Linked DNA regions of Schizosaccharomyces pombe. The gene in region 3 interacts genetically with the main gene of each other region. Each region holds a gene or a part of one and is shown on either strand. Other genes may lie near its edges.

Region 1 (9,957 bases), 2.2 Mb from region 3:
TATATGAATATATTATTAAAATTATTTCTATGAATAAAATTACCTAATTAGTCTAAAATCACTGTACACTTCAACCATATATATTCAGGCCGTTATGAATAAATCTTTAGTACATGGTAAACTCGTAAAAATTGATTTTTACTTATTTTTGACTCCCCTCATTTGAACTGGAGCCTTGTTTTCATTACGTATCGGCAAACCATTAACAGAAGCCAGTTGTTTATAGAATTGCACGACTTTGGGGTGTGCCATCACCTTCGCAGGCGAAAAATTAAGAACCTGGAGACCTTCTTGAGTAGTTGCACGAGATAAGGCAACATACGCTTGCCCTTTCTCAAAAACACGACCCAAATCAACCTTGACTCGATCCAAAGTCTGTCCTTGTGCCTTGTGAATAGATATCGCATAAGCCAAAATAAGAGGAATTTGGCTTCTAGAAGCTTGAACCTCACCATTGGGAAGCTCAATATTCCAAGTTTCCCGTTGTACAACAATTGTACGTTCACCTCCATTTGGAAGTTTAAAACGAACTAATGGCCATTTTATTGCCGTGGATGAAGCTTTACGCATTGCAATCAATTTATATTTCTTTTGCTTAACGTCTGGAAGATCAAAGGGTGAAATGTCTAAACTATCATATTCAAAAGCATTTCTTCCCTGCATTTCAGCATCCTTTTTTTCCATTTGATAGGTCTCATCATCTATGAAACCTATAACTTTTCCAAGAGATCCATTTACTAACTGATCATCTATATTCTTTATAAGCATTACCTGAGCATTTACCTTTAACACTAAAGTGGCAGGAGCCATGCACCCTTGCAGTAATCGGTCACGAAATTCTTTATCTCGAACAGTACCCGAGTCAATAGCGGTAAACGTGACAGGATTTTGATTAATTTGTTGCATACGCATATCGTTCGAACGCTCAACCTCATAACGTGTGGGAAATAACTCTGTCGGAAGAAGCCCATCTTCATATTCAATCGTTCTATTAAGAACTTTGAATTTTCTAACCGATTCATCAGATAATTTCCCGAGGCGCAATTCATTAAGCATTTTGACAAATTCCTCATCCTTTTGCCGAAAAACGTGAGTCAATCCTATTGTAAAATCAAGTGCGCTTTTCCATGTCTGAGATTCGAAACAGAATTTCGATTCTTTCCCATTTTCTGGAACAGGAGGTAACTGAAAAAAATCCCCAGTTAAAACCAACTGAATTCCACCAAATGGCTTACTATCTTTGCGAATAACACGCGCAACCTCTTCTAACTTGTCCATTAATTCAGCATCGACCATAGAAACTATAGTTATTAGTAAATATAAACTCACTTAAATTGTTTACCTTCATCAATGATCAAAACTCTGGTGCGCAACCAACGATTAACACACTTCTTATTTTTCTTTATTTTAGATACCAGGAGGTCGACAGATTCACGAGCAAGGCCTACCCCAGCAAAGGAGTGAAGTGTTACACCGCCGATATTACAGGCTGCCAAGCCTGTAGAAGCGGTAACAGCAACTCTGTCAGATTGCTTTCTATATTTAGATTTTAGGACTTCAATTATTTTTCGGAGGAGAACAGATTTACCTGTTCCAGCAGAGCCCGTAAAAAATATACTGTGTTGTTGCTCAACAACCATGTCTAAAATTCTTTTTTGCTCATCGGAAAGGAATATGCTAGGGACAGATTTTTTACGAGAATCACTTGTCTTAAACAAAGAAGATCCTATTGGCGATTTGGAAGCAGAGTTTAAAGGAACAGAAAATTTTTTAGATATCTGTGGGGTAGACTTAGATTTACTCATGCGTTTTTTAGCCAGACTATCCAAAGAACTGCTTCGTCCATTGCTAAGCTTATTTGAAGAATCATTAGATACAGTGTGTTGACTGATATCAGCTGAAGTGCTGGTTCTTTTAGGATCAGGATCTCCATATCTGTAAGGATCCACTGCCCAAGGAAGGGTTCGTGAGCGTTTTATTCCCTGCCTCGTAATATTACTAGATATTACGCTACTTGCGCCTTTTTCAGAAGTATGGTCTTCGTAAATTTTTGAGAGATGATTTTTTGACCGCTTTTCGCTCGAGAGCATTGATTTAGTTAACTTAGTATGCTCGATAGGGGATGAAGACCAAGGAATTGGTTTTTGGTCAATATCGTTTTCTAAAAGTAGATCATCATCAAAGTCATTTTCATCAATATAGACGCCATTCGCTATTTCAGTGGAGTATTTACTACCCAAGCCAGAATTTTCAAAAACGGGCAGTGAGGGTTTCGAAACATCGAATCCCACGGTGTTATCAAGTTGTTTTAAGCTAGCAGCAGAACGACCTCTTTTGGCTGGTAGGGTTATTGGAGATGACGGAAGGTTATCAGACTGGCTAGAAAATGTTTGCTGATCATCATTAGTAGAGGAGCGAGAGGAATTGAAGTTTAAAGAAGCGGACGAAAAACCGCCCAATTTGTTCAAGGAGGGTTGATGCGATGACTCGTTTTGTGTATGAAGCAAGCTGCTTTTCTGCTGAGCTCTTTGAAACATGACGGGGATACGTTTCCTAAAAGAGTGACTAAATTTATAAAGAGATTGGCACGAAAACATTCATCGAATTACTTCAAGAAACTGGAAGGCGATCTGTACGCAGGTTGTCTAAAAAAAGAAACCGTAAACGAAATAGATCACCCAAAATTGTTTGATCGAAGAAAAGCAACAAGAAAACAATTTCAGTTTGAATTTAAACAACAATCTGCTACTGACTTATGCGACCTCGACCTAACACCTATGATAAGCGGTCCAAGCACATAAGAGTTGGAAGTATCCCTTTGTTGATTGTATTAATTGGGATACCGGTTGAAGAAATTTGTCAATGTCGAGGAAACGGCTGTTGACAAGGAGGTACAGAAATGAAAGCGCTATACTAATAAAAATCAAATTTACGGTGGTAGTGGACGAGACAAATGAAAGCGCGTATGTCAAGACGCGTCACGTCTGTCACCACCAGGCACGTGTTTTTTACTTCACAACTTTTGCACAAATTTTTTATCATTCAATACTGTAATTATCATAAAGTCCTTTTTACATTAGTCGTTCCTTAAGTATAACTTGCATAATTTGCTTTCGGGGCCTATGCAATGCAATGCAAATAAATTGACTTTTGTTATAATATGTTACAATCGAAGCAAATATTAACCCGTGTTTACAGTAAGTTATTAATTTTATAATATTTGATAAAACGCGTCTACGATACCATATCCTCGGAAGTCTGTAAATAATAAATGCTATCAATTAATAAATTATATACTGTATGTAGACTAAAACAATCAATACTAAGTCGAAAATTCAATAATGAGCGACAAACGATTTAAATTCGTTGACCAACCAACTTTGGTAAAGATACACAAAAACATGCATCTTTAGGTAAGTATCGTGTTCTTCAGCAGTCCGTGTCAAACATCCCGTTTTAAAGAGACTTTAGAAGTGGAAAATAACATAAAAATACAAGGTTACGGTTATCACAAATACCTAGAGTCATAGGAGGGATAACTTCAACAGTAAGGATTGCCAATCGATTTGTACTACCGACAAATTTAAAAGGAAGAACAATTAGATTAATAAAATTTCAAAAAAAATGAAAATAGCAAACAAAGAAACTAGAAAGAATGAGAAAAAATTAATAGTAAACATTTATAACTCAATATAAAAAAAACAGTATATTGGATTCAGCAGAAGTACTAAGGATAAGAAAGATTCAAAAAATGCAAATATCACAGAGCACATGTACTTTTGTAATTTCTAGTTAACCTTCTTTGCATTCTTAGCCTTTTGCTTTTTCTCGTAAGGAGTTTCAGACTTGGGAGGCATGTAAGTTCCCAAAACGTGGTCCCAGAAGGTAAAGAAGGGCTGGCTAAAGTTCTTTTGGAAACCGTAAGGTTGGTGATGAAGGTCATGGTAACGAGCATTATTGGCAAAGAACATTTGAAGAGGGTCATAAGGGAATACGTATCCACAGTGATCATCAACAGTCTTCAAGGTAGAAAGGGTGAAGAAAATAACAGCTTGTTGAGGAGAAAGACCGGCGGCGAGATAAGCAACACCAGCGCCAAAAGTGTCCAAAATCAAACCTTCAAAGGGATGGTTGTAAAGGGCACCCATAGCATAGGGAACTTGGAGACGATGGTGATGGGCATGAATCATGTTGTAGAGCTTCTTGTTGTAGTGGAGGTAACGGTGCCAGAAGTATTGCCAGCTGTCAATGATGAAGAAAGCAAAGAAGTATTGGAATGCGGGAACAATAAAGTTATAAGCCAATTTAGGGGCAAAGGGAGCAACTTGTAACAAAGCAGGCAAATTCTTGCTGAAGAAAGCCTCGTAGCGTAACATTTGCTTAGCCTCGTCAATGGGTTCAGGATAGCCCTCGAACATGGCCAATGCGATTCCAACGACGACTTCGCAAAGTTGTTGGAAAAGCACGGCTTTAACAACAGCCATCTGAGGAACACGGTTGCGTCTGGCTATCTCCTCCGGAGGATGAATGCGATACTTCTCAAAGACAGGTAATTCAATGTAATGCAAAAATCCGAAGAAAGCAGAAGCAACCCAGTAAATGATGACAGGAGAAACCAAGGAAACGGTCACTGGGTTCCAGGTAGTTAACATTTCAACGGTGGTAACCATAGTGGCAAGAAAAATTCAAATTCGAAAATATAGCAAAAAGTTAAGTGAAAGTGTAAGAAAAGAGAGAAGCTGATTAGTTATATATATGCGAATATATATCTATGTGTCTAGACTGAAGAAAGAAAACAGTTGGTACAATATATACAAATCACAAACGGCAAGAAATGTGATTTATACAAACAATTGAAAAACGATGAAACCAATAAGGAACCTTTTAAAACAACAAGTAATAAAAAGGATATTTAAACGAAACAAACCTCTTTATTTGTTCGATTTTCAATAATTTGTCTTTGGGAAAAACAAACTATCAAACACAACGATTGTGGCGGAGGTTCGGTGAGCTAGTTTGCGATGGTGACAATTTATATAATGCAAAGCAAAGTTTAAGGTACAAGCTTTGCGCGGCTGTCTTTGTCGATTTACCGATTTAAGCAGCGAGATGTAGTTAATTTTTAAGAAACGGAACTTTCGCCAACGAAAAAATCCGAAATTGATCAGTATGGACCAACAAAATTAAATTGATAAATTATATCGATCTGTCTCAAGGGAGAAGGGAAGGCGAGAACAAAAGTAATAACCGTCGGTGTTTTTAGACACAAATGGAATTACAGATAAATTAGAAACTTGCAAGTTTTCAAGTTTGAACACTAAAAGATGTCAAAAAATTGAGACGTATTGTATTCGGCAATAACAAGACCTTGTTATTTTAACAACCAAAAACTAAGTGCCTACAATAATTTGCAATTGAAACTATTACAAGAAGGGATTAAAGATTAAGCTAGATTGCTTGACCCTAAAGTTGTGAAAGACTTTTTGAAAAGTAGAGGAATTGGATGTTTTTGAACTGCGGAATGCAGGTTAAAACTGCGATATATATATTTTGCTGGTGTTCTTGAAAACACGAGATTTTTTTACAAATCGTATCATCTCATTGTAGGCAAAATCTGATGTTTTTTTTTTGCTGGTAACATGTGATGTAGCGGATCTAAACTACACTACACTATATTAGAGCGGGAAGCAAATATATCTCGCTATAATTGTTAGGGACTAAAAAATGTGGCTACAAGTCGTAGCATTCAACGGAAGCTTTTTGTTACTTTTTACTCCCTTTGATACTGGGATTTTTTTAAACTATCGGAAGGGTTAAAGTTGTACATTCCGCTGAACACAGATAGTAAAAAAAATCGTTTGACAAAAAAAAAAAAATTTGTTTTCCGTTTTTTGTTTGGAATCCGTCTAGGTCGTTAGTAATTTAACAATTTCAGCGAAAGACAGCAATTGAATGGGTTTTAATTTTCGGTACAAAGAGAATTGACTTTTTATGAAGCGACTACGAAGGACACTTGATATTGCTATTTTCAACAAAAAATAACATAATGTCGATAATTAAACTACCACGGCTTGTAAATAGAAAATAGCACTGAAGCGACCTGTGAAATTGTCAGCGTGCTATTGCTAAACAATGATTCCGTGTAATTTTATATGATTGTGCTTTCATAACAGATGTGCATGCGTAGAAAGAAAAGCTATAAACAATCAACATAGAATACCATTCACACTAGGAGTAGCATACCTTAAACTCATAGGATCCAATGAATTAACTTGCAAATCCATTTAATAGTTAGATTGACTGATTTGTACCAAATTGGTAAAATGCCGGTCCCCATCCCCTCTAAAAAAAGGACTCTTTTATTTACCGGGATGCCATTGACATCTCTTCTGTTTTGCATGTTTTGGAATTGAAAATGCAATAATAAAAAGGAATCAATAATTTTGGATTCCTGTCTAATAATTGACGGTTTTGTTATCTTGGTTGAAAAATCCATCCCAGCTGCCTAAAAGCTGCTACAACCTTTGTTTAATTAGTGCGACACAGTTAAAAATACTATATGTTTCGTAATACAGTGGATGATTTCCATTAAACTTTTGACTAGATCAGCAGCGATTTTTAAAGTACATTATACCTTAGCCGGCTAAAAACATATGGATTTGGAAAAACTACTAATGAATGTATTAAGAGTGAACATTACAGTCGGGTGCTTTGCAGTACAAATATCCTGGTAGCTGCATTAAGAAAAAGATATAGTAAAGCTGTTAGTACAAAAAAAAAAGTAGTAAATAATAATATAATAAAATAACGCTTGATAGTCTTTTAAGAATTTCATTTTTCGAATACCGCCTTGTGAATTATGCGTAGTTTACTTGTATCTATATCGTTTCAAATTTTCATACTTCAAGGATTTCCCTAAATGAATTCTTGAATCCCCCACTGAAGTCTTTTTATCCCACTTTAATTTCATACCACAGTTAAAATCATTTGCTAACCTTCTATAGCATATAAACTTATGTACCCCCAGTAAGGTCTTTTTCCCCACTTTAACTTTTAGTATTAGCTGCACCTACCAGCATATGTCCCCCACATGTGTTTTTCTTTTTACTATGAAGGTTCAATAATGGGGGTATTCAAGTCAAAATAATCTTGTATCTGTACCGTCAGAGAAAACTCACCAAACGAACGAGCACAAGTATTAAATCTATAATCACTTACCTTAATGATTTCGTTTACTTTAATTATCTTATAATTGCATGAATTTTGATAAGCGATTGCAAAAACGAACAAATGTGATATAAATATGTTTGTATAGGTGATATCTTAAACATGGCTCGGACCAATTTACAATATCCTTACAAAGTCCTGTGGTGTGCTCAAGTTAAAGTCGTTAAAACGGGTTTAATTAATTTTTTTGCTCCTAGCATTCAGCGTCAACGTGAGAGAGTATGTGAGGGTTATCTACATGAAACCCCCCTGTTACTAATGCAAGTAGTAGAAAGAGAAGCAATAACTTTAGCAAAGACAGAATTCAAAAATAGTTTTAGTAATCTTCATTTTTTCTTTCTTTTTTGGCTGCTTAATTTCATTTTATTTTTCAGAATACATTTGTATTCTTGCAATTTTCGCATGTCGATTATTTGTGAAGAATACTACTAATGTTATCATTGTTACTTTTAAGAATTTTTTATATCTTTGGAGTAGGTTATTGGCAGTGGAATTTTGAGTTTATCTCATTTTTTGAAGTAGCGAAATTGACGCAGTATCTGATAGCACAGCTATTGGCTGTTAAATATAAGCGCCCAAATTTGACTAGTATTTAACAGTCCTTGGGTCCATCAGCGACACTTTGCATTTTTTACAAACTTTTTTCTAAACACCAATTTCTATTTCTTTGCAGTAATAAAGAGGTCCTGGACTGAAAACTCACTGTTGTACTTAATTAGGTGTAGGTTTGCATCCAGTTGATAAGGATTATAAAGTTTTTTCAATCTTCACGTTGAGATCGAGATTCATCGCTTAGCAGAAAATTTTTAGATTAGTGGTAGGTCGAAAAGGTTCTGGATTTTAGAAAACGGCTTTGATCAAACAACTTTAAAGATTAGATTGCTTTTATCTCGATCTTTGTTTACAATTTCATCAAAAGTTTTTTAAATTGCTTTTACTGTTTTTGAGGTTTGGAAGCAAAATCGGTTTCTTTCCTTGTGGGTTTTGGGATTTCTCTAATATTTGTATCTTTAATAAGTAATCTATTTTTGTGAAAAGGGCTTTTTGCTTAGCATTAACACGGATCTTTCCGTTGATTTGTTGTGTTTTATTTATCCTCGGCAGGTTATTTGGATACCTAGTGTAATATATATACATATATTATAAGTATTCTCGTTTTTATTGTTTTAATATTTCAATCCTCTTTTCTTTTTTTCCTTAGTTTATCGAGAAGATGAGCATCACACAAAAAGTAAGGAATTGGGTCGAAGAGTTCGACGTGATCGTCGCTCGTTCGGCATTCGGACGTTGGTTTCGTCTAGAGGGATGTGGTCATCCTCGGGAGCGTAAAGGCAGTCGCTTTTCTCTCGAAATTAGTGCTGGTCTTACTACCTTTTTTGCAATGGCTTACATTTTGGCTGTCAATGCTACCATTCTCGTAGATACGGGCGGCACTTGCGAATGTACTGAAGCTAATCGTGATGATTGTGACAAACTTGATGACTATGTACTTTGCAAAGAAGACTTTCATCGTGATCTCGTCACAGCCACCGCTGCCATTTCTGCTCTCGCTTCTTTCTGCATGGGTCTTTTTGCCAATATGCCCGTGGGTATGGCCCCTGGTATGGGTTTAAATGCTTATTTTGCGTACCAAGTTGTCGGATATAATGGCACTGGACGTGTTTCCTATCGAGAAGCTCTTTTAGCTGTTTTTGTTGAAGGATTCATCTTTACTGGTTTAACTGTTATAGGTCTACGCCAATGGCTGGCGCGAGTTATTCCTGCCTCTTTGAAATTTGCTACTGGTGCTGGTATTGGTTTGTATCTCACAATTATCGGACTCAGTCCAAGTGCTGGGTTAGGAGTCATTGGGCATTCCTCATCTGATATTGTCGCTTTAGGAGGATGCCCTCCAGAATACCTAAACGCTGATTATAGCTGCAACGGTCATCAATTACAATCAGGAAGAATGTGGGTAGGTATATTCTGTGGCGGTGTTCTCACTGCTATTTTAATGATGTACAAATTTAAAGGTGCTGTCCTTGCTGGAATCGCACTTGTCACTATCACAAGTTGGCCTAGACGCTCATTAGTAACTATGTTTCCCCACACGCTTACAGGGGATTATAATTTTGATTTTTTCAAAAAGGTTGTTAGCTTTCGAAAAATTAACCGTATTCTTGTTGCCCAACAGTGGAACGTTACAGGCGGTCAATTTGCCATTGCACTGATTACTTTTCTGTACGTTGACATTATGGATATGACTGGTACACTTTACTCAATGGCTAACTATGCTGGTTTGGTCGATCCTCGTACTCAAGACTTTGAAGGATCCGCAGTTGCTTACATCGTCGATGCTTTAAGTATTTCTATTGGGTCACTTTTTGGTTGCTCACCTGTTACTGCTTTTATTGAATCCGGGTCTGGTATTTCGGCTGGCGGTAGAACAGGGATTTTAGGTATGGTTGTAGGCATTTGCTTTTTCATTTCTCTTTTCTTTGCTCCTATTTTTTCAAGTATTCCAGTCTGGGCTACCGGTTCTACATTAGTACTTGTCGGCAGTATGATGATGAAGAGTACTACATTGATTAACTGGAGTTACCTTGGTGACTCCATTCCTGCTTTTATTACAATTGCTTTGATGCCATTTACCTACTCGATTGCGTATGGCTTGATTGCCGGTATTATTTGCTACGCTCTACTAAACTCCATTATTTATGCTATTGACAAAATGTCACGCGGTAGACTTGT
Region 2 (13,009 bases), on a different chromosome or scaffold from region 3:
GGTATATTAGATGTACGTTGAATTAAGCAGCTAACTAAATTGATAACGGCTAGTTTAGGGGTTGGATAATATGATAAACGGCTTTTACAAACTAAATTTGATAGACAGCCCCCCATTAACGATGTTGTTATATTGATAAAGCTAAGATTTGCAAGATTTATCTTTAAAGTTATTTTAAAAAGATATCCTTCAAATTTATGATATTATTAAAAATATCATAAATATCTTTAAGAGCCAGCGTTATTATACTATTGCTTCAAACTGTAATGATATTGTTGTTATAGCACAACGCTATCATATAACAGCATTCCAAAGCCGTAACAACAGTACATTTAATCGCGGTTTTTGGGTGAAGTTAAGACCTAAGATATAGGAATACATTTTTATTAATAATATGGGACTACCCCCTAAAACTATTGTTTTAGACAATGGGGCATACCATATAAAAGCTGGATTTGCAGGTGGAAAAGTTGTGTAAGAAGAAGTGCATCACGTCAATAAATTTCATGTATCTTTTACTTTTTTCAGCTAACGATAGTTTTTAGTGAAATTCCGAATTGTTTGACGAGATCAAAAGATGGAAACAGATTATTTTTGGGGAATGAATTGGCCAACTGTAACGACTTTACAACTTTACAATTTCGCAGGGCGCATGAAAAGGTACAGCATTTATGAGGGAGTATTATTTACGAACAAAATAAATACAAAGATTATGTTTACTAATACTAGTAGGGGTATTTGGTCCATTGGAGCACAGAAACAGCCGTATGGGACTTGGTAATGCGCAATGTAGGTGTGATGGAACCTAGCATGGCAGACTATTCTTTACTGCTTACACAGCCCGTATTTACAATGCCTTCCATAGAACACAATACTATACAACTCGTGTTTGAGGAATTCCAATTCGATGCTTACCTCCCTTGCACCCCAGCTGAGCTAATTCCTTGGGATCATGGAAGTTTCACAATGAATCAAGAAGATGCGTATACTGGTCAACATGGAGAATGCGTTTTGGTAATTGACTCTGGATATAGCTTTACACACATAATTCCTGTGATTGATTTCTCTGTTCAAGAACAAGCGGTAAAGCGAGTTGATGTGGGAGGGAAATTACTTACGAATTATTTAAAAGAAGTCATCTCATACCGGAAGTACAATATGATGGAAGAAACATACATTGTTAATGAAATTAAAGAGTCCGTTTGTTATGTGTCTCAAAACTTCAAGGAGGACATGGAGATATGTCACGAAAAACCACGGTCAAAATTGGAAATTTGTTATGCTTTGCCCGATTACAGCACTGGAAAACATGGATATATTGTTAGAGATATTAATCAAAAAATAGAGCAACAAGTTTTGAATCTTTCAAATGAGAGATTCATGATACCAGAATTATTATTTTCCCCATCTGATATCGAAATACGTGAGGCTGGGATTCCAGAGGCGGTCATGCAAAGTGTCACCCACTTTCCTGAAAATATACAGGCAATGTTGCTTGAAAATGTTGTTACAATAGGAGGAAACTGTAAATTTCCCGGATTTCATAAAAGACTATCATCTGAATTACGGTCGCTGGCACCAGCTAATTGGGAAGTTAAAGTTTTTGAACCTTCAGATCCTATTTGCTTTCCATGGAAAAAGGCATCTCATATGCCGTTGGAGCACTGGAATGCGAATAAAATAACTCGTTCTGAGTACTCAGAACATGGAGCAAACATAATGACACGAAAAAGGAGAATATAATAGATCACCATTTTAAAACTCAATAATGTGGGTTAAATTTCTATCTTCACAAAATTCTCAAGGCGAGCTGATAATTCGCATCTTAAGAAATTGGTTTATTACATTAAGGCTACAGCAATATAAAACGAAAAATATGCATGCATTAAGAATAAAATCTTTTTATATTAATTAACGAATCATTCTATCTCTTGATCAACCACTAAAACAACAGCTAAATAACTATATCTTTATTATTGTCGCCAGGATAATTCATACCTAAAAAGCGTTAGCGAAATGAAAGATATTATAAAAAAGATAGGAATGAAAATCAGTATACAAGTATAAAAATTTAACCACATAGTTGTGTCTTCAAGACTAATCGATTTGTAAAGCATCATATGTAACATTCTATCTCTTCAAGTGTTTATACTTACATATTATTAATGTGCCTGAAAAACAAGATTGAAAAAAAAGAAAAATTTCAGCACTTCTTCACTACTGTTTCAAGTGCATTTTATATGTACAGTGCAGTTTCAGGTTGACAGTATAAGAGTTAAAGCAACCTTGAGTTAGAGCAGTCACGGTATACTACTTTAATTAGAATGTAGCGCGTTGCGTTGCAATGTAGTCGTGTCGCGTCTGTTTACATTTTGGATAGAAAGAGCTTTTCGTGAAATTTTGTTGCTTCTGTTGGATAAATTGTTCTTTTTCTCAAGTTAATCATATAATTCAGTAAAGGAAAACTGTGTAATAAGAAGAATCGAGATCCCAAATTATTTCTGTTGAGCCTTGTTCATGGGCTACATATATTTTCCCTCACATTTTCAACAGTAAAGCCTTAAATATAAAAGTAAAAGTTGATTAAATGATATAAATTTACTTTAATAATATAAATATGTACAGATATTTTATATTTTCTTCATAGATGTTACCCAATTGAATCGTTACTTTAAGCTGTAAAAGTTGGCCAAATTGCAGTAATCTCGAGTTGACCACCACCAAACACTAATATTGTCTTTTGCGAAAGTAAACAAAGAGAATTAATCCCAAGCTAGGCTCTCATTAAGAGGAAAAATCAAATACACTAATTTAGTAAGGTGGCTGTACCACATGAACCTAGGAAGATGTCCTCTAGCTCCTCGATCTGCGAATATAGTACTCCCGAAACATGATGCCGTATCCAAACAAAAGGAATATCGAATTGAGGAAAAGACAAACGAAGCACAAAGGGAGGAAATTATAACTTGGAAAGACAACAGGGAAGATGAAGGAGAAGTGAAAACCGATTTTGAGGTTGTTAATAACGAAAATATTATCACAACCACCCCTAAACATCAAACTGTTATTACCCCTAAATCATATCGCAAGTCCGTAAAACGGATTAAACATGATGCTCCTCAAAATGAGGATATTCCTGTCATGAAGGGGCTGGCCCCCATTAATGCTGATACTGAGTCGAAGGCGGAATCCATGGCAGCTGGGAAAGTTTTGGGATCTAAGAATTCCTCTCAAAAGGCTCGGTTACAGGAATGGAAAAGACAGTACAAGAAGGCATTTCCTCATTTCCGTTTTTATTTGGATGGATGCGACCCAAGTGTTGCTCATCGAGTGAAAAAACAAATTCAGCAATTGGGTGGACATGTTGAGACGTTCTTCTCAGGAAATGTTACTCATGTTGCAACAGTTCGGGCTATCCAAGATGTTTCGGTTAAGTATGCTAAACAGGATGTAATCACTAAGGCTAGGCAACTGAACATGAAGATTTGGTCTATGGAAAAGCTTTGCAACCGCGTGTTAAAAACTTTAATGGAGAATGATCAATGCACAACCAACGCACCCACCAAACAGGGGAATGACTTGAGTTATTTGCTTTACGTAGAAAAGGTGCAAGGAACGAACGAACGCGATTTATCTGTTCCTAGACAGGACTTTGTGCATTTTCGTGGACCCTACCTTTACGTGCATGACATAGCTAACATTTACAAACCTATACTCTTACGTGAATGGCAAAAACCGCTTCCCGACAGGGACGTTCCTTGGCCGACCTTTCGTGCTACTAGTATTGGCCGGTGTCCATTTGTACCTGAAACAAAGTATCGTCTCAGTACTTCCAAGTCCTTGGTTGCTAAAAATGACCAGCAATTATTGCAACGACAGAGTCAAGAACCATCGCTGATTCTTCGTGCGAATTCGATGAAAGCTTCCTTGCCTGATATATCCAACACCGGGATCTCTGGAATGAACACAAATACCACTTATAACACCAATATCAACAACACCCCTCAAACTGCCATTTCTGGAATTACCCAAGATACATCCCCTTCTATAAGGACAAATTGTCATCACTGTTTGGATGACGGTATGCAAGCATCGGGTATAGTACAGTCAAACTTGACTTCTGCTGCAATGTCCAATAATTCTGCTATTCGCTCCGGTAGTGCTGCTAGTGTTCCGGTGGTAACAATTAATGGGAGAGATATCGCAGAGTTGAAAAAGCGTATTATTCAGCAAAAGTCTGGCATGATTGGCAAGGACTACTCTTATAAAGCGATGCTTCACAACACGAGTCAACGGAAAATTCGTGTAGATGCGAAACCTGGCTATTGTGAAAATTGTCGGGAGAAATTTGATAATTTTGAATCTCATATCCGCAGCAGTAGGCATCGAAGGTTTGCCGAGAATAACGATAATTTTAAAGACCTTGATGAACTGTTTGCCCTTGTTCAACGTCCCTTAAGGCCAGATTGAGAAAATAGCCCGTGTCTTCAAATTTTGGCACATTCACTTTTCACTAATATACGATCGTGCATGCGTATTGTGTACACCTCCTTATGCAGTTTCTCGGGATTTAATTACATCTATGTATGTGCTATTTACCTTTCTTTTTTTATCTTCCTCTTCATTTTACATGTATACTTCTAATAGTTGTTATATCAAAAAGTTTCACGGTTTATTTTCTGATTTACCAGTATCCCAAGTTATCTATTGAACAAAGTGTTATTCATTAATAGTTTATTGGGGAAGTTAGTCATCGTTGCTTATGAATTACTACCTGGCTGAGCAAAATGATTCTTGCTTAATAAAGGACATTTTATAACGTTTTAGATTTTTTAGAACCGGTTACTTGTCTGACAACTCGTCTACTTTCACTCTTAATAGCGAGAAAAAAATCTTATCAATTGTATATTTAAATAACATATCATAAATGAATTACAATCAGTTAATTTAAATTTGCTTTTTAATCGATTAATTAACAAATTCAGGCGTACGTGCAAGGATACGTCTGAGATTTTTTTTTTTTAAATTTCGGATTACTCATAATATATCATGAGTTCTCATTTATTTTTCTGACTGTAGAAATAAATAGCATTTTTTATTTTATAGACATATTTTCTTAATTGCTGAAAGTATAAAATCAGCGTTTTACTGTACCCGGCTCTCCGCCCTGTATATGCGTTTAAAGCGTGTTAACGATGTGTGCTAGTTTTCGTCGTCTGCGCGTGCGAAATCACAGGTAATCTTACCATAAATTAACCTGCCCTAAACAGACACCAGTAGTCAACGCTACTTCGCTTTCTTTGTTTGCGATTTACTCTATTTTGTTACTGTAGCGTCAACTTTTTACGCAGGCTATTTACTGTACTTAGTAGTAACCTAAACACTTTAAATTTGGTGAACGAACGACGTTGTATAAAAAAGTAAATAAAACGAGGTTGAGTTAAGCGGGGAAGAACGTTTGGAAGCTTATATATTTTTGTTTTCTCACGTAAAAATCTTTATTGTATACACTTTCGGGACCTTGCCTAATGGAACATCTCTCTAATCTTGAGCAACCAACAACGATGGACTCATATGATTTTCAGAAACTGACTAACGATGAAAACTTGCAAGGAACTGAATCTCAGGTTCCTTCTGGTAGCAAAAGTGCCAGCACAAATGGACTATTAAGCGCTGCTTCATCTGCTGCTGGTTCCTCGTTTGGATTGACTCCTTCTGCTATATTACAGCAAAAGCATGAAAATGCTCAGCAAGGAAAGAAGCAAAACAATTCGAAATCATTTTCCAAAAAACCTGCCATTGACGTCCATTCTGAGGATGCATTTCCTACACTTCTTTCTAAAACTGGTCCCAGCAAGCCAAGGATTGTTTCGTGGGTCAGAAAGACAGCTTCCAATACTAGCGTTGCTGGTTCTGATTCAGTTTCCAGAGACAAGATTCCGTTCTCTGCTAGCTCTCGTGCATCTTCTACAAAATCAACTCTTTCTTCGGTAAAAGAAACTGATTTTGTTACGGAAACTTTGATTTTAAGCCCTGATAATCAAGCTCCTCGTATGTCTTTCGTGGGAAAGCCTAATTCTGTTGCTGAAATTGTTCGTACTGTCATGCATCAGACCTCTACACGTATTAATGTTTCTACTGCATCAAAAACTAAGAATACCACGTTTTTAATTCAAGGAAAGACTTCTGCTGTCAAAGCGGCTAGACGCCAAATTTTGAAATTGATTGGTCGTCGTGAAACGAAAACTATGCCCTGTCCTGTTTTTGTTGTTGGGGCTATAATTGGTACTAATGGACAAAACTTAAAGTCTATTATGGATCGCACTTCAACACGCATTCAAATTCCCAAGCGTAACAACACCGCAAACGAGTCCTCTGATGATGCCAAGAAACCTGAAAAGGAGGAAAATTCAGCTGCTTCTACCCTCGACGATTTGGAACCCCAATATGAAATGACTACGATTACTATTGAGGGCGATTTCGAAGGTGTTGAACTTGCCCAAAAGGATATTGAAGCTATCATCAACGAAAGAACCAGTAACACTACTGTTCGTATCAGTCACATTTCTACTGAGTTATACAGTCTTCTTAGGGGCCCAGACGGTAAAAATATTAAAGAGCTTGAAGAGGGTAGGGATTTGAAGGTTCAAATTCCTTTTGCATATTTAGATCCTTCTGCCCCTGTCAATCCCATTGTTTTGTCTGGTGAAAAATCAGCTGTACGCGAATGTGCTTTGTATCTTCAAGGTCAAGCTGAGGAACTTCTTCGTACTACCATCCCCACAATGCTACCTATTCCTCGTCGTCAACACCGTTTCATTAACGGAGAGAAGGGGGTTGGTATCCAGGATATTTTGAGAAAATCCGGATGTTCCGTCATTTTGCCTCCTATTAATGGCGATTCTGATGTCGTTAGTGTCCGTGGCCCTGCCTTAAACATCAGTGAAGGTATCCGTTTAACTCTTGAACGTGCAAACTCTACTATTGTTGACGCTGTAAATATCACAACAGCATATGCATCCTCTAAAAACCCCTTTGATATTGCTAGCATAGTAGCTCGTTTGTTCCTTCGTTCGAGGAAATTGATTCCATTAGAAGAAGAATGTGCCGTACAATATCACTTACCAAAGCGTGAGGAGCTTCAGTCAAATTCCAATAAAACAGTCATAATTGAGATTTCTGGTAAATCACAGGAAGCTGTCCGTGAGGGACGTGCTAAACTTCTCGCCCTTGTTAATCAATTTCCGGAGAGCAAGTTTTACAAGGTAACAATTGATCCGCTTCTTCAAAGATATGTTATTGGTTCCAAGGGTAAGAATCTCCAGAAGCTCAGAAATGAGCATCAGGTAGAGCTTTTGGTGGGAGAATACGGTGAAGAAGATCCTGATGTCATTGTCTGTTATATTGGAGCTGATGATGGAAAGTCGCCTGACCAAATTCAGAAAGAACTCGCTGATTTGGCCGAGTCAGTTAAGTCATCAGCTGAAGCATCTGCTAAAATTGTGTCTGAAATAATCCAGGTTCCCTCCGTGTACCACAAGCATATTGTTGGTCCCAAAGGCACTACGCTGAACGCTATAATTGGTAAATCTGAAGAAAATGTAATCGTCCAACTTGGTAAAGTGTCGTATCGTCCGGATTCTACGGACGATGATGTCTATATCCGTGGTTTTTCCAAAGATGTCGAACGCGTTGTTAGTGAAATTAAACAAGTTGTTCGTGATGCCAAGAACCACGAAATCCTTCATTCTCATGTCGAAGAGTTCGATTTCCCTGCTCAATACTCTAAGAACGTTATTGGCAAGAACGGTAGTAATGTTTCTTCTCTGCGTGAAGACCTTGGTGTACAAATCAACGTAGAAGAGGGCCATATTCGAATCCAAGGTATAAAGAAAAACGTTGAAGAAACAGCTGCACGTATTAAGTCCCAAATTGAAGCACTTATTGATGACACTATTTTACGAGTTAACATTCCCAATGACTTTCACCGTCAATTAATCGGTTCTAATGGGAAATACGTTCGTCGTTTGGAGGAAAAATTCTCGGTTCGCGTTCGTTTTCCACGTGAAGACGATTCTTCCAATTCTACCGGTAATGAGCTGATGAAACCGACCTCTCCTGACGAAGTTGTTATTCGTGGTGGTAAAAAATCTGTAGCTGCAGCCAAGCAAGAGCTCTTGGAGCTTTACGAGTATGAAAAATCGATTGCTTATACTTCGACGATTGACATCCCTTCAAAGGCGGTTTCACGGGTCGTTGGTCGTAACGGTTCTACTGTGGAAAACATCAGAACTCAATTTGATGTTAAAATAGACATAGGTGACGTTTCAACTGAAGAAACTACACCCGTATCGGTACGTGGTGCTAAGGCTGATGTCGAAAATGCCATTAAAGAGATTTCAGCCATTGCAGAGGAAGTCAAGAATCTTGTCGAGAAAGTTATAAAAATTGATCGTGAGTATCATCGCTACTTAATTGGACCCAACGGAAGCAAACTGCAAAATACCATCAAAGAGTGCGGTGGATCAACTGATAAAACCGAGACTGCTCGTCTGATTAGTTTCTCCAATGGAAATTCCGAAGAGGAGAGGAATTCTGTTGTATTGAGAGGCGACAAGGAAATCGTTGAAGCCCTTGAGACCCGATTATTGGAGATAGTTGAAGAGCTGAAGAACCAAGTCGAAGAGAAGATTGAAGTCCCGCAGAGATGTATAAGCTCAATCATTGGAAGAATGGGCTCCACTCGTCGTGACATCGAAAGGAAAACGTCTACCATGCTCAACATCCCGAATGTTCTTGACCCTGAAGAGACTGTCACTATTACAATCGTCGGAAGTCCGGAGAATTGTGAAAAAGCCAAGGAAATGATTCAAGAGAAGGTTGCCAGTCAATATACCCAGATGATTACAGTTCCCGATACGGTCTATGAAAGTATAATGAAAGGTATTTTAATGAAAAAGCTTCGATCCGATCTCAAAGTGTTTGTTGATACCCCCGAGATCAAGCCTGTACAACCCACGGAGGTTGTTCTTGAAGACCACGAGGATGGCGTTTTCCCTTGGAAACTGGTAACTCACGACTACACTGGTTCTTCTTCATCTGAGTGGGCTGTTCGAGGACATAAGGAAAATGTTGAAAAGGCTATCGCTTCATTGGAAAAATCTATCAAGCAAGTTATGGAAAATTGTATTGCTTACTTGGGTATCCCAACGAACTTGCACCGTCGTATAATCGGTTCTGGTGGCTCTATTATTAATAAGATCCGAAAGATCGCCCAAGTTAAAATTGATGTTCCTCGTACTCCAGGCGATGAAATTGTAGTAGTCCAAGGAAGTCGAGCTGGCGTTGTCAAGGCTAAAGATCTGATTTTCGAGAGACTTCAAGAAAACCAAAATCAAGAGTAAGGTAAAATTTTGGAGCCTTTATTTAGTACTTACATTCATTTCTCAAATTTTTTTGAGAGTGTATTTGAAAATTATGTGTACGAAATATCATTTTGTCGCTCTTTTATTACTACATGTCATTTTTTAAGGAGACGGAAATTGCTTGAATCGAGCATTTTCCTTATTGATTCCTTCTTTGCTTTGTTACATTGCCTTTGTTTAATATTACAAATATAGACGCATAGGAAAAAGGCGTACCTAGTGCATTTATTCAATCTTTTCAGATATAAACATTGGAATGTATAGATAATTCAAGAAACTAGAATAGTTGAAATCTATGATTTTTTATGAGAAAATAAGCATTGTACGACAGATAGGACACAACAAGTTTTAGTAAAAGAATATTATAAATTTACAAACAACGAGCTAAAATTTAACCATTTCTCAAAAGAAGAACCATATTAGGACGTTTTTTTTTTCCAAATAGCGTAAATAAGTTAAAAAAACCCAGAAAACCCCAAAATAAAGAACACCGGAAGTAAGGAGAAATATGAGACGAAAGAATGTGGAGTATGAAGTATATAATGAAAGAAACAAAAGGCCTCGTACAATAAATAGACTATTGAAGAAGCGCATCGCGGAAATGCTTTTTTGTGTTATTCTTAATACCCATCTTGTTAGCAAATTCCTCTCTTCTTCTTTGGTCTTGGAATGATTTGATATGAGAGGCACTATAATTCTTACGGCCATCGCGAACACCAGCTATACTTGTTTCAACAGCTTGTCTATAAGCTCGGGCATTACCACTCATCGCACGTCTGGCGACGTTCTGATGAATAGAAGCACCATCTCCTACAGCGGTAGAACTAGAGTGAAGATTTTGGCGGAAGTAGCGAGATAACGAACGATGGCCCACACGATTACCAGAGGGTAAATGAAGTTCATATTCGTCAGCAATGGGTACACGACCCATTTCAAGACTATCTAAGCTGGAGTTATCTGAATCATCAGAAACATCTTCCCAGTCTCCTTCACCAGAGCTTCCATCTTCTTCTACGACAGTTTCGTCTTGCTTTACTGCATAGTCAGGATACGATGTAGTAAAATCATAAAAATCAGAGAGTTCAAGCTGTTCATCTTCTGTATCATAGGCAATAGAGGTATGCCCCTTTTGCTGCATATGGGCACGAACAGCTTCTAGTGATTTAAATTCACGATTGCAGGTAAGGCAAGTAAAGCCGATAGAAATTTTCTCTGCTAAATAATCGAATAGACTTGGTTCATCTACCAAATATTCCCGCTCAGGAATGTACAAGCTATGAGAAGCCTTCATATGCTTCTTGCATGTATCAAATGAAGAAAAAGAGGCTGCGCAAAACAGGCAATCTCTTGGTGAAAGACGTTGACTACTTCGACGAGCAAGTTCAGCTTCAATTTCTTCAGGAGTTGGTTCTTGTGTAAATAGATGAGACTTGGAAGCTTCGTTCGATTGAGGTATGGAAGTAGCCAATTCAGTTTTAGAGGGTTCACTTTCTCGACCATGAAGAGATAAGTTGGAAAGGGATATCGCCCTTGATGTCAGTTGTGAAGCTAAATCTTCTTCTTCCTCAATTTCGCTATCAACTACAGGTTCACCCATTGACAAGGTTGAAGAAGCAATACTACTTGCATCTTCACTTTGAAGTTTCTTAATACGGCTGTTTCTTTGAAATTTGCTCAAGTTATCGCGATGCTTCTTCGAAGCCATATGTGATGAATAGGCGCCTTCTGAATAAAACTTTTTATTACATACTTCACAGTTTTGATAAAATTCTGCTTTTTTCTGGACTTCCTCGTTCTGCTTTTGAATGGACAAAATCTTTCCAGCAAACACCTCAGCACTCAACGGCGGCAAGCTAGCAACCTTTCTCTTCAGATTATAATGATGCCAGTCAGACTTCCAATGTATTTTCTGTGATTCTGCATTATTGAAAGCCACAGTACAAGTCGTGCAAGCAAAAGAAGTCGACATTTCGGTATTCTGTCAAGTAATTCAATTCTTAGCCAGTACACTTTTTTATCGAAAAAAAAATTGATATTGAAGCCGAGTCTTTCCTCAAATATATTCTTTGACTCAAACTAACTTAATGAGATGAAGTCAACCCTTTTTTACAATACCTTGCACAAAAAGGTGTTGGTTGAATCCAACTTGCCTACGATCAACTATTGCCTACATAACTTGTAGCACCACCAAATTATTTTAAAGTGTCAAATAATTATCAATTTTATTGAAATCAAATAAAATTAATTGATATGTTAAACATCTTAATGTCTTGTTTTTTTAAACTTAATTTATGCATCCCTCAAAAACATTTTCTATTGCTTAGTAACATAAGGCGTACCTTTTGATTAACCAGTAAGTCCTAAGAAAACTCATATATAGACAAAGGGCTGGAAAGAAAGAAATGGCATGCATTGTAGTTTTAGCGAGCACACGAGCTCCCACTCTTCAGGGTTTAATTAAAATTGAGTATTTGAAATTGAGGTATTTTTGAGTTAGTTTCGTTGGAATAATCATATAGGAAATACATAATAGAGTTTAATGTCTTTTCCTTTTGTTTAATAAGTTTCCTTGCCTCAATAAGAAAGTTAGCACATGTGCTTTCTTATCTCTTTTCCCTCGGGGTTTAATTAGTGTTAAAATTTCGTTTTATGATAAATGGTCAGCTGTTTCTTTTAAACCTTTCACTAAATGACTCAGTGTTCCAGGATCTCTAGCACGATTGGGATACCAATCCTCAAACAGATTATTCCATAATTCCTTCTCCTCAGTATCTTCGGGTGAAAAAAAGTAAGAAGGGTTTCCAGATGATTTCTCTTTAAATTTCATTGACCATGCTTTAAAAGTTTCAATTTGTTCCATGATTTCTTCTTCATTCATCAATTTCAAGTCATCGTCACTAAAATTTATATCCCAATTATTTGCCTTTGATCCAAGAAACAATGTAAGCATCGTAATTGTAATCTGCTTATAGTTAGCATTTTACTCCACTAAATGTGATTGAAATCAACAGTCATAAAAGATAGATAGACAGCAACATTAGAGACTTACGAAAACTTTGCTTAAAAAGGAGTTTCCATTTTTTTGCTTCGCAACCTTAGCTGCTTTTAAAAATATATTTGTAAAAATACAGTTTCTATCTCTCATATCAGAAAGCAGAAGAAGAAATAAAACTTTCAAAGAAGAATAACAGACGATAGGACCGACTTCAAGACTACAAATTTCGCATAATTTTTCTGACAGTTTAATGTTCCAATCATTGACGTCTCGCAGACAGACCATTTCCTTTGCAAAGCATCCAAACTTATTTAAAGCTAAAACCAAGTTTTGCGTTTCACTTGTAAAGTTAGCAATCTAATAACAAAAAGAAAAATCCTTACTCATTGCCATTCAACTGATTTTTTTTGTTTATTTTTTTTCTTTGAATGTATGCATTGAGTTGCTCGTGTAAACTTTCTGCTAAATCATTATATACATTGTCAATGGCAAATAATATATCTTCCTGTACAACTTTGTTGACCGCCAATCGGTGGAAGAATCTGCTGCACAAAATCATCAGGAAGTTAACGGTAGTTGAATTAAATAT
Region 3 (10,570 bases):
TTGGTTCATAAATTCTTAAAAAAAAGACGCAAGTCACTAGTATTCTTCTTTTTTTAACTTCATGACAGGATTAATTGCAGTACTAAAGCGCGGGTTTCCTCTTCACTGAAGAAAAAACTCTGAGCAATCACATATCACAACTAGGTTACACAAAGGTGGTTTTCAGTAACTCAGCTTTGAATCCGAGCTTCTCTTTGTACAGAGAAATTACTTGTATATTATGGATCAAGCTATCGCTGGTCTTGCAGCAGGAACTGCTTCCACACTAATTATGCACCCTTTGGATTTGGCGAAAATCCAAATGCAGGCGTCAATGAATCAAGATAGTAAATCATTATTTCAAGTTTTTAAAAGCAACATTGGCAGCAATGGATCTATTCGTTCTTTGTATCACGGTCTGAGTATTAATGTTCTTGGATCTGCTGCTAGCTGGGGTGCCTACTTTTGCATTTACGATTTTTCCAAGAGGGTAGTCATGAGTATGACTCCTTTTAATAATGGTGAAATTAGTGTGCTGCAAACACTTTGTAGTTCTGGGTTTGCTGGCTGTATAGTTGCAGCTTTAACCAATCCGATTTGGGTCGTCAAATCACGAATTCTTTCAAAGAGAGTCAATTATACCAATCCATTTTTCGGTTTTTACGATCTCATTAAAAATGAAGGGCTACGTGGATGTTATGCTGGGTTTGCTCCGTCATTACTTGGCGTATCCCAAGGTGCTCTTCAGTTTATGGCTTACGAAAAATTGAAACTTTGGAAACAGCGCCGGCCAACATCATTAGATTATATATTTATGTCAGCAGCTTCTAAAGTTTTTGCGGCTGTAAACATGTATCCACTGTTGGTGATTAGGACACGGTTACAAGTGATGCGTTCTCCACACCGTTCTATAATGAATTTGGTTCTTCAAACTTGGAGATTGCAAGGAATTCTTGGTTTCTACAAAGGATTTTTACCGCACTTACTTCGAGTCGTCCCTCAAACATGCATTACATTTTTGGTTTATGAGCAAGTTGGAATGCATTTTAAAACACAGTCTTCAAAGTCTCAATAATCGGTTTGTAAAAAGCATCTGGGTTTGGCATTTATCTGTATTATGTTTAAGAAAGAGAAAAGGAGGGAAAATCTGTTAGGTTTCTAGTATCACATTTAAATCCAGTCATTCTTTAAGGTTGCGATATTATTTTCTTTTAGGCAAGGGCATCAAAAAAGTGTTTATTTATTTATAATTAATAGTAAAGGTATAAAAATATAAGAAAATTCGCAGTATAAACATTACTCAACATTTTGTATTAAGATCTCTTCAACGCATTTTTTTTGCCTAGGAGAAAGTTGTTGAATGATTGCTTTGGCCTCATCTGGCTGAATAGCCATAATCTTCAGCAGTTTTTCACCGATTCTTTTTCGTGCGTCAGCGTGCTCGACGAGGATACTAAAATGTGCAGCTATCGGAATAGACATGCTTAAAAATGATTTTTCTAAAAGTTAGAATAAAATAATATTAAATAATACACTTACTCTTCTCCTCCGGAATATGGACATGCATATCAAGCAATGCAGGTATAAACTCCGTGACATAATCACCACTTTTCAGAACTTCACCGTTCTGTAGCATCGTAACCGATTTGTAAATAATGAAACGGCAAAGAGCGCTCATGCTTGGGTGTTTACTGTTAACTAACATCAGCGATGTTACACAACGAGTTCTTAAAGCAAAGTCCTATATGTTAATGTAAACCTTCCAAAATTCCTAACAAACCTCTTCTGAGCTCTTCAAGGAAGAGAATAGTTCTTCCAAAAAATCGTGTACCACAAGCTGCTCACTGTCTAATATAGGAGCTGCAAGAGTAAGTACAAGGACCATGCTCATAAAAGCAGTTTCGTTTTTCTCCTTTTTATCACTATCATTACTTTTTTAAGGTTAGTAATAGTACAGGTGGCAATCAAAACTTACATCGTTTCTTTGTAGATGTTAAGGAGGTGTTCAAAAAGAGTGTATATCAAAGTTGTACATGTGTGATCATTTTGCTCAACCATTGTACTCAACAACTTTCTAAGAGCAGCTAACAACTCTTGCTTAGAATTTTTTAATAGTTGTTGATCGTCCATAATGACTAGACAGTTAGCATGAAATTATTCGTTTATTTTTAGGACTTACCTTCATAAACATGCATTGCTGTCGCAAATAAATCAACACGCACAATAGCGGGGAAAATGTTGGAAACATCAAGAAATGCATTAAAACACAAAATAACAAATTCACTAGCTTTTTTATTGGTAGCTGATTCAGCTGGATCAGAACGTAGGCCCGGCACTCTAACCGTTAAAGCTAATGTCAATATTTTGACCAATTGAAAAAGCATTTCGACGCTTTCTGATACAGTAGGCTCCATAGATGTTACAGAATCTGTTTCACAAAACTTCAAGTCATTGTGTGCCGGGTTAGCAAGAGCTAACTTTTTCACAAAAATGACAATACTAGCCTTCGTTTCCCAATCCTCCGTCAAAATCAAACGAACTAAAAGATCAACAACTTCGGGGAACACATTATGGTCATAAAGAACCTTGGTACATAATTCTTCAGTTAAAACTTCAGTCATAATTCGCATAATTCTGAAAACTGGATTTCTAAAGCCTTGCAAAGTGCTTGGAATTAAGAGAGATTGGAAGCAGACACTAAACAAAAAAAAGTTAAAAGAGTACCTGTTGGAAGCATAATTTATGTTGTCTTGGAAGAATACGTCCTCCTCAGAAAGCGACAGCTCATCTCCACTTAATATTCCATAAATCAGATTTGCATCAGTAGAAAGTAATATTGTTAATGACTCTGCGATGTTCAGCCAAGATTTCTCATAAATATTGAGAAGTATTTTAGGGTTTATACTTTGGACCCGAGTGAAAGAGGTATCAGCTACAAAATCTTTTACTAAACTAGGACCAAATTGCAATCTGGAATATCCTCTTAAAGCCATAATCCAATGCGAAGATAGCCTTCGGATGTTAGAGGAAAGAAATTCTTTCAAATATGACACATTCGCTGAATGTACCAGCAAAGAAGCCCAAGCTGATAAAGTAGCAATACGAAGAAAATATTTCGAGTCATACTTAAAGTGACGATTTTCCTCAAATCCAGCCCTCTCTGGTAAACTAGATTCCAACGCTTCTTTCAATAAATTGAGGATTTTAGCTGCTTGCGATTCGGTTTTTAGAAGTCCAGTTCCAATAAAATTGGAAGCTATATTAAGAGACATGGCTACTATTTCAGGAGATGAATCATCTACAAACGCGGAACTAAAAGCAGAGCTGATTTGAGCTTGAAATTGGTCCAAAAGAGAAACATCGTCAAAGTCAGGATCCATAACATTCGAAAAGTCCTAAAAAATTGTTAGCGAGTTTCCTTTAGATTATCCTTACCGTTATGATAGTATCCAAAAGTTCAAAACCCCCCTGCTTCAAGTAAAAGTTGTCTGAAGTAGACAAAACAAAAGCAGCACGGACTAGGTCAGATATCCTAGAAATCAAGTATTTTGCGGGCTCTTTATTTTCGGCCATCACTTCAGAGATACATGTTTTAAGGCATGTAGCTGCATAAAACTGCGTCTGCCAACGGTAATTCTTCTGGAATAATGGATTACTTGCGTTTTCGGAAGTTCCATAAGCCAAAGATACGGTATCTTCATCTAGGTTGTTTTGTATATCTTGTTCGTTGGATCTTTCAGAACTCGAAGTATTTTTTATGCCGACAAGAAAAAGTAAAATATTTACCCATGAGTGTATGTCCGAATCTTTGTAATCGTTTAGCCAGATATACAGTATGTTCTTCAAAAGCTTGTTGTCAGGAGTGGTGTCGAGTGATTGCCAAATAAGCCTATCAAAATGTCGCTTATAACATGATTCCGAGAACTCATGGTTTTGAAGCAATATTTGGTATAAAACTTCAATAGAAATTTCCCTACGTTTAGGTTGCTTTAGGTCAATTATGTTACCACAAAGCTCCCTAATGAAGAAATCAGAATTGGTTTCTAATGGTGTAAATAGATATAGGTGCTGATAACATTTGTAAACGTGTATAATGTTATCTCCCGTATCTCTACTAAGTAAAAGCAATTGGTGAGCTAAATCGAATGCGAAATGCGAAGTAGAAGAATCGGATCGCAAGTTTGGTCCAAGCTCATTTATCAAACAATCCAAGTAATTGGCAAAAAGAGTGGACGGGAAAAATAAACTGTTTCTCTTCTTTAAGAGCTGAACATCAATATCACATTCTGGCAATAGCATATAGCTCAATAAAATGCGTGTCTGGGCAGTTAAAACACTCGGAATGGTCTTTGCGATAGACCCAAGAGAAACGGAAGAAGCACGAATAGAACACTCTCTAACAAGGTCATTCGAATCAGTATTAAAAACTTTGAGCAGCTGATAAGCGGTGATGAGGGTAGTTTGGGGAACTCCGGAACCAACCTTTTTTAATATATGGCCAACGGCTAGAATCAAGACAGCCCTGCAATTTGGATCTCCCGACTCTGCAGCACGTTTAATTATTGTATCCAAAACGGACGTCGGTTTGCTTTGATATAAATATGCCAAAAACGCATAAGATTTCGAAATGTAAGGAATTAACTTCGGATCGTTAACAGCAGTCAAGTTTTCGAGCAATTCTATCATAAGGGATACAACCTTGTCAGGCAAGGTAACTTTTTTGTTATCGAAAGCAGAGAGAAATCCATAAATGGAAAATAAAGTATTTGCTGTTACTGCCTTGTAACGTAAAATATCTCTCCCACTCTTGAGGTTTGTCACAGACGCTACCATAATTTCGAGAGTGCTCTCCATAACCTTCGGAGGTTGATGACAAAACATAGACGCAAATAACTGGATCGCGTTATCAATTAAAGAAGTTAAAGACGGGGGTACGTAAGGAAGTTTTGCAGAGTTTGATCTCGAAATCACTGACAGGGAATCAGAAGATGACTCGCAAATATAACAAGGAAGTATATCATCCATGGTTGTTTGAAATTCTTCCTCTGGCTGAGCGTAAAATCGTGAACCAATTCCAGGTATAACTCTTGGAGAAGTAAAGGCTTTCGCTTGAACTATTTCGTCCGCAGTATCATATCCTTGTAAAGAAGAAAGTTCGGCTATAGTAGACACAGTCGTGGATAGTAATTCTTGATCATCTAAACTCATTCCACTTAACTGAGACAACTCGAAGAAACATTGGAAAATCCGAGCAAGCAAGAGAGAGCGAAGTTCCAAGTGAGAATAATCTGAAGCGGGAATTGGCATGGTAATTTCAAGCCTTTTGGTTAACGAAAAAGCTTTGTAGAATTTAAGGCAGTTATTTAGGAAAATAATGACTCGCTTCCTAACATCAGGTGTGAATAAAATCTTGTTATACTCCAAAAACGAAAGCAAGCACTGTAACGCTTCAAACCGATTAAACATGTCTGCATTTGTCTCCATGAAATTTTGTGAATGTATTTTTGAAGGTACTCTGGAAAGGGCATTCTTCCATAAAATTAGCAATTGGGACAATTGCATTCTAGTAAAAGAAGGACCAAAAGAAACGTAAGCGCTTAATAGTCGCCAACCAGTCTTGATTTGTGCTTGTGCCGCTAATAAATCCAATTTAGATGATGACTTAATCAAATCCAAAGAGAAGTTAAATAACTTTGAAAATATAGAAGAAGCAACATATAGAGGATTTTCTTCGGCGGCAACATAAATCGACATCAACGACAAAGTAAGATTATTGAAAATACCAACATTCAATTTGGGACTTACTTCCTTAGGTTTAGAACGAAGGTGCTTAAATTCCAACTCTAATCTATTAAAAAGAGCAAGCAAAGTGGGCATTAAAGGAGAAGGCATAACGGATAGTAAACAGCGCAGCAACCAGGCTACTTCATTCTTCAATGAATCTTTACCCAAGTATAGAATCTGTAGTGTAGTATCTAGTAACTGACTATATAAAGCAGTAGCCGAACCCTTTGATCGGCTTAATATATCAGCGGTGGAAGCCATCGCAGTCTTAACAGCAATTTCCGAAATCTTCGACTGATCTTTTAAATAAGGCTCTAACACTCTCTTTAAAAGTATTTCAATTCCCTGCAATTCAGAGCTTTGATCGAGAAATCGCCTTCCAATCACATCGCGAAACAAGTATGTACAATGATATTGCTCCAACGAAGACAACCATTCTTTTGAAGTAGAGTGTGATTGGTGTAATAGAATAATATCCACTATAGTAGTGTAGTTGAGAGAAACAAAGGATGGACGTTGCATTAGAAAAAGATGCTTAACGGCAAAAACAAGAACCGCTTTTGAGCTTTCATACTTTGCATGCTTGGAGTGATAATTTTCGACAAGAATCCGTAGGGCGTGACGAAAACTCTCAGTTTCATCAAAACGGCGAGTAGTAGACCGATTTTCTACTTCCTCATTGTTCTCATCATCCGCTGGAGTTGAGGGTACTGCGTTTGCAGCGGCTTCAATCGATTTGTCAGCTTGAGCACTTGCAAGTGCAGAAAAGCATCTTCCTAAAGAAGAATGGAGCAAAGAATTATCAATTGATGATTTTTTAAATAGAAAAGATTTGAACCATTCCAATTCTGAATTACGAAGACGTGAAGAGCCCAGAATGTAGTAAGCGCAACGAAGTGCAGATAAAAGAACATTCGTTGATGAAGTGTTTAAATTTGATTTAATACATTTCCATATTTCTTTTATCAAATCTTCATTCGTAGACTGAATAGATGTTTCAATGCATTTCGACAGTCCATCTAATGCGATTGAGCGAACTCCATATGACAAATTGGTTTTCGAATATTTGAAGAAAAATCTTATAAAAGTCTCTTGCTGATTGATCTATTAAGGTTAATTATAAGTTTATAGAAAATATCCAAAAGAGTAATACCTGATTTCCATATTCTTCCAAGCAAGAAGTCAGAACGGATAAAACGTTACTACCGGTTAGTTGATATTTCAAATATTCTAGACATACATAATCTCTATATAGTCTTTTTTCTCATGAATGCTATCCACGAAGTAAAGTAAAACTCGATGCTGATGATAACCCTCGACTAATACTTGTTAACATATACCATTTTCCATAAATCTCACATACGTCCTTTTAAGAGTGCAATTATACAGTTAGAAAGAAGTTTTCTAGTTGGATAAGCAATAAAATTTCCATATTTTTTGATTAACGAAAGTAGGGGATTTAAATTAGTTTGTAATGAATCCTCGCGAGTATTTTTGTTCAGATTCCTCAATTGTTTTTCGTAATTGAGTAAATCAATATATATGGTCTCCCTCTTATCTACATCAGCTACTTTCGTCAACTTTTCGAGCGGCAATGATGCTAACGACATATGTGGAGCGGCCAAACCAATTTCCCTAGGCTAAATCTATATACATTGAGTTGCGAGGTACTGAAATCTGCAGTCGACATTTACACGATTTACAATAAATTAATAATCAAATAGTCTATAGATAATATATTTATTATTATCATTATAATTAACCACTTTACTTATCAACCACGAACACAAAGATGTTTTAAATTGTAGGAGACTACTAGAATGCAATAGCCATTCCGAGTATCGTTAATTTTAAAATTAAATAAAACAACGAAAAGTCATTTATAGATTTAGTTTTGAAATGGACAAAAATTTTGTCTGAGAAGGCAAAAATCACAGCTCAACGCTAGTATGAGCATCTGCAATGCAAACAATTATTATGCTATTCATAATGGTATTTCCATGTACAATAAGAACAAGGGGTCTCATGATCAGAAGGAGTACTAATAAAACTTAATATTTGCATATTTCCATAAAACCTAATTGAACATTTTCATAAACAAAGAAGAAAACACAAAAAAAAAGAAAGGACAGATATTAATGAAGAGCTCGAAATGCTTTGCTGGCCATAACTCACATATGGGAGAGATTAGTATCAGTATAATCATCGCGCTTGTTATCTAAATTAAATGAACCTAAATTATCAAGCTCATCTTGTTTTTCTTTTTTTCTGCTTCGTACTCCAAGTCCAAATGGAATAACCAGCACTAAAAACCCTGTAAAAGCCATCACCACACCTGAAAAAGAAAAGGAAATTAATAAATGAAATTTCAAATACCTAGTTTGAACTATAAATATACTTACCTGCTGCTTTTCTTATTTGGTCCCATTTCTGCCTCTCATTTTCAGCCCTCAATTTACCTAACGAAACGGCTAATAAATTGTGTAGTTCAACAATTCTTGCACTCAATTGCTGGACTTCATTCTTTGTATCATTTTTCCGATTTTCAAACTCCATTTTGCTTTCGGTATTAAGCTTGTTTAACTGCTCGTGAACCAATTGTTCCAAACTTTCTACTTCCCTTTGGTTTGAAAACAAGCCTGAACGTAACGAACTGATTTGATCTTTTCTCATATTTATTTTCTCTGAGCGAAGCTCCGACAAAGCTGTACGAAACAAATAGGAGCACTATACAAGTTAGCTATGACAGTTCATTTGAAAGCAAAAAAAACCGTCAATCTATAATTAAAGATAAATTTAAAGACGGAAGGATTCTGTAGCTTAATAAATCATACGTACATTTTCAAAATCAGCTTCAGACAGGTAATTGAGATGACTATGTCGCAGCATATCAGTAACAAACATATTCGTGACTTCGAGAAGACCCTCGGCCTCTTTTTCTGTATATCCTTTATCCATTAAAGTTTTCAAAAATGTAAATGTGTTGAAGTGATATCCTTCAAGGTCTCTGAAAGGACGATTTTCGTGATTGGCATTTACTACTGAAAGACCCTTTTCCATTTCACCTGCATCTGTCCCTTCTGATGCATAAAATCGAATTTGCTTCGTTAAGGATAAAGAATAAGGAATTAAACGAAAAGTATTGATACTATGCACTTTAATCCCATGCAAGGTAATTCGGGATCGATTAACATCTATAGCTTTTCGTAGCAAAGAGAACATTTTGTCAAGCTACCAAATTTTGATTATAAATTAAGCAACTTATTAACAGACATAATTAATTTTTGTTAAAAATTGGGTACGATGATTGTGGTGAATGTTAAATGTACATATCAGAAGGCGTAAAGGAGTAGTATGGGTGTACCCATAGAAAATAATAATGATGAAAATGCATTGATAAGTGGTTTTGATTATTTCCTTATAAGGTTTAAAATGTTAAAGGATATAAAAGAAAATATTTCTACAATTCTAATTATACGTCAAATTGAACGAGGGCAGTGAAGCTTTATTGTTATTCAGCATCTTCAGGAAATTTGACAACAGAACTTCCGAAGCATTGGATCAGGACAAAGAGCTGATGAGTAACAAGTAATATTCCACTTAGCATAAACCGAGGTGCAAACACTTTCCAAACCATCAAATGGCGACGAAAAAATCCAGCAAAGAAGACAGTACTCGTCGAGATCAATAGGTTATAAAGAATGAAAGAAAAGGAGAATCGAAACAAGTTTATCAAGAATCTATTTTTCTTGGAAAGTGGTTCGAATGAAAATAGTGGAATCGAAATGCAAGTAAGTATCGGCGCACCGACCGTATGCAAAAACATGAATATAGCGCTTATAGCCTGGTTTTCAGCAGATTTTGAATGAATGAATGCAAAATTCCAATCAAGAGACGATATAGCAGCCTGATTTCCCGTTGTAAAAAAATGCGACAATCCCAATAAACCTAGCGTTACCGAAAAGAAGTTGTGACCAACACTTGGCTGCCATTGTTTAAGTTGAATAAGAAGCAGGATTTGTAAAAAGCAAGAAAATAAAGAGAGATGTCCCAGGGGCCTTTGCAAAAATGAGAGAAAAGAATATAGTAATGCAAAAACGAAATATGATCTTTCGATGACATTTATTTTAGCAAACTTGGATCGCGACAGTAAGAAGAATTGCCATATCAAAACACCAAGAATGCAAATTACGTAAGTATTTGCAAGTGAGTATAAAACATGATGATACTGCTTTTCTAATAAAGCATCATTCGCGAAAACATGATGAGCAATCCAAAATATTGAAGATATTAACTCGAAAAAATAGAGGATTGAAAGATGATAAAGTTTTAAAGAAAGGCCAAGAACGCGTCGCAAGTGAAGTTGCAGAATGAGAGGCAATATAATAGAAGAAAGAGCCATTAACGCCAAAACAATCAAGGTTCTGAGGCTGTTATCAGGAGTTGAGATGTACGTGCTAACACAAAACGCACCTTGCTCTTCGCGACAGTTAGTTACGTACGAAGAAATTACCTGTAAAAGGATAAATGCCAATGCAGAGTAAGTAGAGCATGCAAAAAGGGGGCTCATTTCGGAAAAGCATTTGCAAAACATAACTAGTCCAATAGTGATGATCAAGAAGTGACAAAGGCGATCTTCCCATACTGTAAAAGAGTTGGAACCAAAACTGCAAACGTGTAGAAAAGTTATAAAAATACTAAAGTAGTCCAACTTGACAAAACCTTTAAAGTACTCCATCAACTTCTGATTAAAGGAATTTAACAGGATGTAAAATGAAGGAAGTAATACATAGAATTCCGCCGGGAA

What was found.
Region 1: of sip1 (region 3) and sur2, a mutation in one rescues a mutant of the other (synthetic rescue), as found in Schizosaccharomyces pombe (one large-scale study listed by BioGRID).
Region 2: of sip1 (region 3) and vgl1, a mutation in one rescues a mutant of the other (synthetic rescue), as found in Schizosaccharomyces pombe (one large-scale study listed by BioGRID).

Annotation. Positions count from the first base shown.
Region 1 is NC_003423.3:3,567,592-3,577,548, forward strand, and holds sur2 (sphingosine hydroxylase/sphingolipid delta-4 desaturase Sur2), read right to left. Parts: upstream 5,006-9,957; 5' UTR 4,671-5,005; coding exon 3,789-4,670; 3' UTR 3,258-3,788; downstream 1-3,257. Other genes in the region: pfh1 (DNA repair and recombination protein), read right to left, coding at 139-1,301, 1,343-2,597; SPOM_SPBC887.16 (uncharacterized protein), read left to right, coding at 7,330-7,659; SPOM_SPBC887.17 (transmembrane transporter), read left to right, coding at 8,441-9,957. UniProt on the Schizosaccharomyces pombe protein: Required for hydroxylation of C-4 in the sphingoid moiety of ceramide. Involved in the response to syringomycin.
Region 2 is NC_003421.2:1,211,614-1,224,622, forward strand, and holds vgl1 (vigilin), read left to right. Parts: upstream 1-5,259; 5' UTR 5,260-5,528; coding exon 5,529-9,404; 3' UTR 9,405-9,836; downstream 9,837-13,009. Other genes in the region: Swr1 actin-like protein Arp6, read left to right, coding at 395-474, 546-660, 733-1,743; Hsk1-Dfp1 kinase complex regulatory subunit Dfp1, read left to right, coding at 2,833-4,470; rei1 (ribosome biogenesis protein), read right to left, coding at 10,003-11,394; meiotic cohesin complex STAG protein Rec11, read right to left, coding at 12,073-12,387, 12,475-12,760, 12,804-13,009. UniProt on the Schizosaccharomyces pombe protein: Required for cell survival under thermal stress.
Region 3 is NC_003423.3:1,332,527-1,343,096, reverse strand, and holds the start of sip1 (Pof6-interacting protein Sip1 AP-1 accessory protein), read right to left. Parts: upstream 7,387-10,570; 5' UTR 7,374-7,386; coding exon 7,127-7,373; intron 7,083-7,126; coding exon 7,004-7,082; intron 6,966-7,003; coding exon 6,917-6,965; intron 6,868-6,916; coding exon 3,415-6,867; intron 3,375-3,414; coding exon 2,159-3,374; intron 2,115-2,158; coding exon 1,955-2,114; intron 1,911-1,954; coding exon 1,760-1,910; intron 1,721-1,759; coding exon 1,519-1,720; intron 1,496-1,518; exon of another isoform or gene 1,479-1,495; coding exon 1,276-1,478; 3' UTR 1,055-1,275; coding exon of another isoform or gene 221-1,054; 3' UTR 1-220. Other genes in the region: flx1 (FAD transporter), read left to right, coding at 221-1,054; SPOM_SPBC27B12.07 (uncharacterized protein), read right to left, coding at 7,935-8,098, 8,166-8,490, 8,602-8,985; gpi13 (pig-O family ethanolamine phosphate transferase), read right to left, coding at 9,275-10,570.